Linked DNA regions of Saccharomyces cerevisiae S288C. Changing the gene in region 1 together with any one later gene gives a genetic interaction. Each region holds a gene or a part of one and is shown on either strand. Other genes may lie near its edges.

Evidence for each region. A genetic interaction does not mean that the proteins touch.
Region 2: mutations in CKB2 (region 1) and BRE5 together harm fitness more than expected from each alone (negative genetic interaction), as found in Saccharomyces cerevisiae (4 studies listed by BioGRID).
Region 3: mutations in CKB2 (region 1) and SOH1 together harm fitness more than expected from each alone (negative genetic interaction), as found in Saccharomyces cerevisiae (5 studies listed by BioGRID).

The regions. Positions count from the first base shown.
Region 1 is NC_001147.6:404,250-407,044, forward strand, and holds CKB2 (casein kinase 2 regulatory subunit CKB2), read left to right. Parts: upstream 1-1,518; coding exon 1,519-2,295; downstream 2,296-2,795. Other genes in the region: HIR2 (Hir2p), read right to left, coding at 1-1,139. UniProt on the Saccharomyces cerevisiae protein: Regulatory subunit of casein kinase II/CK2.
Region 2 is NC_001146.8:716,280-719,957, reverse strand, and holds BRE5 (Bre5p), read left to right. Parts: upstream 1-1,630; coding exon 1,631-3,178; downstream 3,179-3,678. Other genes in the region: CCR4-NOT core DEDD family RNase subunit POP2, read left to right, coding at 1-612. UniProt on the Saccharomyces cerevisiae protein: Has a role in de-ubiquitination. In conjunction with UBP3, cleaves ubiquitin, leading to the subsequent mono-ubiquitination of sec23.
Region 3 is NC_001139.9:269,892-272,547, forward strand, and holds SOH1 (mediator complex subunit SOH1), read right to left. Parts: upstream 885-2,656; coding exon 501-884; downstream 1-500. Other genes in the region: U2-type spliceosomal complex subunit CWC23, read right to left, coding at 1-253; SCS3 (Scs3p), read left to right, coding at 1,106-2,248; methylenetetrahydrofolate reductase (NAD(P)H) MET13, read left to right, coding at 2,629-2,656. UniProt on the Saccharomyces cerevisiae protein: Component of the Mediator complex, a coactivator involved in the regulated transcription of nearly all RNA polymerase II-dependent genes.

The DNA of each region.
Region 1 (2,795 bases):
TCTTCAAGCTTTGGAAGCTTTTTGTTTACTTCTTGTAACGATTTGATTTCCGTTTGAGGCAATGCTACACCTAAATCCTTCTCTTGGAATGCGAATGTATACAATGTCGCGTCGTTTGAAATGGCAAACAAGGTGAACCCATCCTGTGACCAAGACATATCGTTTATTGCGGTGGAGGAAACCTGGAGAGCATTAAACAAAGGTTTCATTCTCTTCGTATTCCAAACCAAAATAGTACCGTCTGTAGATCCCGAAGTGGCGATTAAATTATAGCGTGTGCTGGTGCCCTTTTTCAAATTAGGCTTTTCATAAAATGCTGGAGAATAAACAAGAACTCTACATCCATTTGAAGAAGGTGTTACCAGTGTTTTTGTAACTTTGTAGTTGTTATTTCTGTCAAGTAAAGCGGTACAGCTGGTAGCATTATTCGGCACACCTTTCACCGAGTTTATCACTGGTAAAATGTCTGCCTGAGGTGACATTGAGATTCTATAATGTAATGGATACATTTGTACATGCTGCGTAAGTTTATTTATGAGTTTGTGTGTACCCGTTTTGTTAATTTGATAGACTAAAATTGATCTATCTGAAGTCATAACAGTAAAAGTTTGGCCAGTAGGATCTATTATGCCTGTAATAGGTTTGCTCGCCTTGTCAATAGTTATTTCAGAGAGTTTATCAAAGGTTTTATGCCGAAATAATAGTATCTTATTTTCATTACTTAAAAGAACAAATAAGATACCTAAGTTTATGTCATATTTCACATCCGTTATTGTGCTTGGAGATTTACACTCGAACAGAAGCTTACTGTTCATTTTTTCGACAGAATTGATGTTATTTGTATCTCTACAGAGCCAACCTGAATAACCCCACAGACGATGTTCAGATCCAATATACAATGTTTCGAGATCACCTGTTATGAAAAAAATATCACCGGTAGTATCCTGATCCACCTGGAAAGAAACTTCTGGCTTTAAATCCTTAATCATAACCCTATCGAATGCAGTATCGACTAGTTGTTGTTGTCTCCACGCCATCACGTGACCCCCACTGCCTGCCAATATGATATAGGGACCAAGGGCAGCTAAGGCATTCACTTGTTCATTATGAATATCCAAAGGATACTTTAATAATCTCATTGTTCCGGATTGTGTAGGAACTCCTTTGCTGCGTGGCGTATTCCTCTGTATGGACGATTTAGCACTTTTTGTATATTGTTTTATGAAGACTTCATAATTCTAGCCGAATTAACTGATATTTTTTTCGCGCTTTTTTTTGTCGACCTTCCAGGAAGAAAAAATATGAAAGCGAATAAATGGAGGTGTATTGGCAATCCTTTATCAAATGAAAACAAGCACCAAATAGAATAAGTAAATCACATTCTTAAAGAAGTTGGTCATTCCAGATACGTGGAATTTTCCTGCTGTATTTTTTCATCAATCTTTTACTTGAGAAATACTAGCTTTTTTCAAATTATTCAAGATTAAGGGACTTAGAGAACTGATAGAAAAGCAGATCATGGGCAGTAGATCGGAGAATGTGGGAACAGTGACTAGAGAAGGCTCCAGAGTGGAACAAGATGATGTCCTCATGGATGATGACTCTGACTCATCGGAATACGTGGATATGTGGATCGATTTATTTCTTGGGAGAAAAGGCCATGAATATTTCTGTGATGTCGATCCTGAGTACATCACTGATCGTTTTAATCTGATGAACTTGCAAAAGACAGTTTCAAAATTTTCCTACGTGGTACAATATATTGTGGATGATTTGGATGATAGTATCCTAGAGAATATGACACATGCCCGTTTAGAACAATTAGAATCAGATTCCCGGAAGCTGTATGGTCTCATCCATGCACGCTACATTATAACTATCAAAGGATTGCAAAAAATGTACGCTAAGTACAAAGAGGCGGACTTTGGAAGATGTCCCCGTGTGTATTGTAATTTACAACAGTTGTTACCGGTTGGTTTGCATGACATTCCTGGTATAGATTGTGTCAAGTTATATTGTCCATCTTGTGAGGATCTTTATATACCAAAATCATCGAGACATAGTTCCATTGATGGTGCATACTTTGGAACAAGTTTTCCAGGTATGTTTTTGCAAGCATTTCCAGATATGGTACCCAAACACCCAACTAAAAGATATGTTCCAAAAATATTTGGATTTGAATTACATAAACAAGCTCAACTGACAAGGTGGCAAGAACTACAACGACTCAAGTTAGTTGAGAAACTTGAATCCAAAGATGTTGATTTGACGAAAAGTGGTGGTTTTAAAACCTAACTATTAAAGAAAGAAGAAAAAATTCGAAATGAAATCCTAGGCGAAATTGAAAACGAAAATGAAAATAATGGAGAAACTTCGTCATAAAATTGTGAAAATCAGGTATCATTTGTTCTCCTAGCATTTTCTTTCCTAGAATATTACTATTTTCTACCTCCATTCGTATTTTACTTTTCCTATTTAATATTAAATTTTTATATACCGTTATTGCCCCTTACGGCAATAATACAACCAGATAAAAGAGCGTGCTCCGAAGTTAGCCTGTTATATATCAACAATTTGCAAATGTGGTTACCCACGAATTATTGGTGTTATTTTAGTGAATAGCTTGAAATCTTTGAATGTAGGAAGCATCCTTATTTATCAAGAAATTGGAGAAGTGGCGGCATCGCGTGGAGACTGCCTATGAACTAAGAGGCGGTTTATATTTTAAAAACTCAAAAGCTGTTTGAAGACTAATCTGGAAGTACTGAAAAGAGGAGATTTACTCATTCTTTGGT
Region 2 (3,678 bases), on another chromosome or scaffold:
GACGCCAACGGCAATAAGCCTGACAACGGTCCCTCAACGTGGCAGTTCAATTTTGAATTTGACCCAAAGAAGGAAATCATGTCCACAGAATCGTTAGAATTACTCAGAAAATCAGGTATCAACTTCGAAAAACACGAAAATTTAGGCATCGATGTATTTGAATTTTCGCAGCTTCTAATGGACTCTGGTTTAATGATGGATGATTCTGTTACTTGGATCACATACCATGCGGCATATGATCTAGGTTTCCTGATCAACATTCTAATGAATGACTCCATGCCCAACAACAAGGAGGATTTCGAGTGGTGGGTCCATCAATACATGCCCAATTTCTACGACTTAAACCTGGTGTATAAAATAATCCAGGAGTTCAAGAACCCTCAATTGCAACAATCTTCACAACAGCAACAGCAGCAGCAATATTCACTAACCACACTTGCCGATGAGTTAGGGCTACCAAGATTCTCTATATTTACTACTACAGGCGGCCAGAGTCTATTGATGCTTCTATCCTTCTGCCAATTGAGCAAGCTGTCTATGCATAAGTTCCCAAACGGTACGGATTTCGCCAAGTACCAAGGTGTCATATACGGTATTGATGGGGACCAATGATCATTTATGTACTATATGTATACACAATTTTAAAAAAAAAAGTTTAAAAGCAACATCAGCTTATGATTGGACATGTAGTAATACAGATTGGTTCTTCGATGCAATAAGCACTCTTCCACAGGAGATTGATGCGTTATTCCCGTATAGTTATCGGTCACGTGCGCTGTAGTTTGTTTAACCATTTATTTTTTCTTGGAAATTTTTTCGTCCAAAGCAGCGAAAAACATCAGGTGGCGATTAATGAAAGAATGACATATTGCAAGCAGCATAACCGTCCATTCCAGGGATAAGAGGAAGTACAAGCTTCTTTATTAATAGTTCTAGAGTGACTACATTATTTCAGATTAGGCAATATTACCTTTTCGTACCGTTTTTTTTTCCTGTCCACTGTTACTATTGTTACGGTTAAAAGTTCTATCGCAACCGGCGGACGTTAAACTAAGTCATTTGTTTTTTATCCCATTACTGTTTCAAAAAAGAGCAATTCATACCTAATTTGTACAAAACGAAGACTGTACAAGTGGTAGTACTTGACATAGGATATTTTGCTTGAGTATTAGAAGAATACGAAAAACTTCTTCAGTTTTCTAGTTACCGTTAGTACCAAAACTATTCTAGAGGAAGAATAAACAGTAAGATATTGCTTTAATTTATTTATATCACCTACCACAAGCTTTCGTTTTTTTACTCTGTTTAATTCTTCAAGTTGTGTTTTTTCCCTACATTTTAATTCATTTTTGCCCATTTAATTACATTTTTTTTTTTGTTTTATTATTTTCGTTCAAACCTCATTTTCTTTCAAATATTCAATTAGTCAATCATTTTACAGAGAATCTGTTGAAAACTTATTTTACTGATACATCTTTATTTTTCGTTGATTTTTAAAGAGAAAAAGATCACGAAGAATACTACAAAACCATCGCATTTTTTTTTTCAAGTGTGTTATAGTTTTATTACCTTGTCACTAATAGTTGCATTTGAAGTCATACCCTCGAATAGAAGTATCAAATAAAAGAAAATGGGTGTTACCGTTCAAGACATATGTTTTGCCTTTTTGCAAAACTACTACGAAAGAATGAGGACCGACCCTTCCAAATTGGCATATTTTTATGCAAGTACAGCCGAGTTGACGCATACTAATTATCAGTCCAAGTCAACAAACGAAAAAGATGACGTTCTTCCAACGGTGAAAGTTACTGGACGTGAAAACATTAATAAGTTTTTTTCTAGAAATGATGCCAAAGTTAGGAGCTTGAAACTAAAATTAGATACTATAGATTTCCAGTACACTGGGCACTTGCACAAAAGCATTCTGATCATGGCCACGGGTGAAATGTTTTGGACAGGAACTCCGGTCTATAAGTTTTGTCAAACATTTATCCTGCTACCATCCAGCAATGGGTCTACGTTTGACATTACCAATGATATAATCAGATTTATTTCCAATTCATTCAAGCCTTATGTCTTAACAGATGCTTCTTTGTCACAATCTAACGAGGAGAACTCTGTCAGTGCAGTTGAAGAAGATAAAATAAGGCATGAGTCCGGAGTTGAAAAAGAAAAAGAAAAAGAAAAATCACCAGAAATATCGAAACCAAAGGCCAAAAAGGAAACGGTCAAAGACACAACTGCGCCAACTGAATCGTCAACTCAGGAAAAACCAATTGTCGATCATAGTCAACCTCGGGCTATACCCGTCACTAAAGAGTCCAAGATTCACACCGAAACGGTACCATCTAGTACTAAGGGCAACCACAAACAAGATGAGGTCTCTACAGAAGAGTTAGGAAACGTTACTAAACTAAATGAAAAATCTCACAAAGCCGAAAAGAAAGCTGCACCAATCAAGACAAAGGAAGGCTCTGTTGAGGCCATAAATGCTGTTAATAACTCTTCTTTGCCCAACGGTAAAGAAGTTAGTGATGAAAAACCGGTACCTGGGGGCGTAAAGGAAGCTGAAACTGAAATTAAACCAATAGAGCCACAGGTTTCCGACGCCAAAGAATCCGGCAATAACGCTTCAACACCTTCATCTTCTCCAGAGCCCGTTGCGAATCCACCAAAGATGACATGGGCCTCAAAGTTGATGAATGAAAACTCCGACAGAATTAGCAAAAATAATACCACGGTTGAATACATCAGACCTGAAACACTACCCAAGAAACCGACTGAAAGAAAATTTGAAATGGGGAATCGGAGGGACAACGCTAGTGCTAACAGCAAAAATAAGAAAAAACCAGTATTCAGCACCGTTAACAAGGACGGCTTTTATCCAATCTACATTAGAGGTACAAATGGCTTAAGAGAAGAAAAATTGAGAAGTGCCTTAGAAAAAGAATTCGGTAAAGTTATGAGGATAACAGCTGCAGACAATTTTGCCGTCGTCGACTTTGAAACTCAAAAGAGCCAAATCGATGCTTTAGAGAAGAAGAAAAAGTCAATTGATGGTATTGAAGTATGCTTAGAAAGAAAAACAGTAAAGAAGCCCACGAGCAATAATCCTCCTGGCATATTTACTAATGGAACACGTTCTCATAGAAAGCAACCCCTAAAAAGAAAGGACTAGTCAACCACAAGCCTTTTAAAAAGAAAAATTGAAAAAATAATAAAAAAATTTGAAAAAGAAAAAAAAAAATCATAAAACCAATCTTAAGAAAAACCAAAAAAAAACCGCTAATTAAAATCTAAAAAATTGAAACAAGAAACTGTATGATTAGTAACTAATATACTGGCGCGGAAGGGAATGAATGCCATTTAAATGAGATGATTATGAAAATATAGCGTAGAGTAGATGCGCGAAACCGAGGCAGAAAAGAAAAAGAGACAAGTTAAAAATTGAATATAATGATATATGGGCACTTTCTTCTGTGCTAGGAAACGGAGGTAGAAGGGGATAGCAAGCTTGAGCAGTAATTAAAAAAAAAAAAAAGCATATTGATAGATAGCTCATTTGTAGTTAACTGACGACATTTATGTACATAATTAAAATAGAAGAAAATTTTCAAAAAAAATTCTCCTGGCGATTGTTAGGGACAAGAAAACAAGCCATGTTGTAACCAATAAATG
Region 3 (2,656 bases), on another chromosome or scaffold:
GGTCGTAATGGGGTCTCACGTCTGCATTGGTGAGGATATTAGTTGCGGTCGATAATAAGTGGAATTTGTGTATAATTGATGGATTGTCCGGGTGTTTGTCAGGATGATACTTCAGGGCAAGGGTCCTGTATTTGCGTTTAATTTGGGGCAAATCATCGTAGATGGTATGGACGTCCAGGGGGGTCGGTAATTCTAATACATCATATAGGTTCAAACGTTGATTTATTACGTCTTCCAATTCGTGTCCTGGCATAGTCGTGGCGAGGCTTGTAGTACGGCGATGGACTTGCTTTTTGATTTTGCTTTCATCTTCTAATGTCTTGCGAGATAATATGCAAGGAAAACAAAGGAAAGAAAATACAAAGTAATGCGGCTTGCATATATATATACATATATATATGTATATATGTGATATATATATGTGTGTGTGTGTATATATATTCATGAGTGTATAAAATAGATATATGAATGCGTGCGAATGTAGTTATAATTAGGTGTGTTCAGTTGGCCCATCTTTCTACCATTTCATTCATCCATTGCGGGCCTTGTAATTGAATGATCTTGGGCAGCTCGTCTAGCCCTTCCAGCAGGCCATCTTCATTAACGATCGCCGACTCCATGAACCCGTTCAACAGCTTTAAAATGAAGAGACAGTTTGGATACACAATGCATTGCGAATAAGGGGGGTTGCACCAGTACTCCAGGTATTTCAAGTAGTTTTTGAAGTTAGGAGACTTCCAGATCTGCTGTTGAGTGAGTAAGTACGTTACGTATTGGATGTTTGCCAGTGACTGGATAAATTCGAGCTCCACTTCGAACCTCGTGGGGAGAGGATTTTGATCCGAGGAAGGTGTCGCTGGTGCGTTTCCATTAGTGCTTGACATCCTGGGTGGAGCTTGGGGGAACTTTGCCGTCTTATGAGTGCTATAAGTTTTGGCTTACTTTGCCTCATTTTTCCTGCATTTCTTTTTCTTTTTCATCCTTTAAGAACACGTTAGCGGGAAAACCGTGAAATAAAATACAAAACGAACTGTTCGAAAAAAGCCAAAGGGGAAACGCCTAAAACTCCACTGAAACCAGCTATAAAGCACGGCATATTACAACAATGTCTAGCAAATGGTTTAATGCTATACACCTACTGGTGTGCCCGTTGACGGTACTGGTAGGATATCTCATGAACGCGTATGGCTACGGTGCGGCGCTGCAAGCAACCCTGAATAAGGATGGTCTGGTAAATGCTATGTTGGTAAAGAAAGGGTGGTTTTGGACTTCCTTGGTCGGATGGTGGTGTATTATACGCTACCGTGCGGTGCCGGGGGCAACCGGCAGAGACCGAAGACACATTGTCCAGTCATTCAAAAGGTATGCCATACTGACAGTGTGGTGGTACGTATTCACGCAAGGTATATGGTTTGGCGTAGGCCCCATCATGGACTTGGTATTCGTATATACGGGTGGCCATTGTCACTATGACGTCTTCGATGATGCAGGTCACGTGAACGAAGACTTCCAGGGTTCTGTCACCCGGACTAATCGCGCGTTGGCGCTCATTCACAATGTCCTCACTTTGCACGGACACCACCAAGAACACCGTCAGCAACAACTCTGGGACCGCTCCATAGGGTCGATCCAGGGCGCCCTGCAGGCGACGCAACCGAAAACCCCAAAAAACGTAACGGCCAGCGCTGCCGCTGCCATCAATACTTTTATTCATGACCAGATGCACAGGTGGCAAGGTCCGTTAACCACCTCGGCACAGTGCAGACGTTTTGGAGGCCATTGGGCTGGAGGACACGATCCATCCGGGCACGTGTTCTTGGCCACCTTGATGTGCATGTTTCTTCTAGGTGAGCTACGTGTGTTTGGGCGTCGTGCACTGGCTCACTTGTACGCGCAGAAATGGCAGCTTGTACGATTGGTGACCCGCCTTTTCGACACTGGACCGCTATGGACGTGGCGGCGGTGTGGCGGCGGCTCAATGACCTGTGGCGCCCGTTTGTGGCGTGCGATAGTCGAGCCGCCTGTCACGTGCGCGGCCGCCCTGCTCCGTTTGACGCGATGCATAGCATGCGACCACCCAGTAATCATACTGCTGACGCTATTGGTCACGTGGTTATGGCAGCTGCTGTTGACTGCGGTGGCGTCCCGTTTCCACACCGTACGTGAGCACATGTCTGGATTGCTAGCTGCGTACATAGTGACAGGCCTTGTCTACGCTCGCGACGCAGCCGCGCTACGTCCAGTATGACTCAGGAAAAGTTGGCGATAGACCACGAGCGACTGAAAAAATAACAGCGACTTTTCTCCCGGTAGCGGGCCGTCGTTTAGTCATTCTATCCCTCGGATTATAGACTGTGAATATTGCATATGCAACTTTGACTCAAATTTTTCCAAAATTTGATATATATATATATATATATATGTTTGTATGTATATATATATATACGTATATATATCATATATACGAAAAGTAGAAAAAAAAAGGTGATATTTCGCTCGTGGAAAAGCTAATGCCACAGCTTGTGTTTCGTGTAGTTTGCCTTGCTCCCCTTGATTGAAATAGTCTCCCTAAACTAAAGTTATCAGCAAACAGAACCACCACAGTTACTACTACAACCACATCGCAATATGAAGATCACAGAAAAATTAGAGCAAC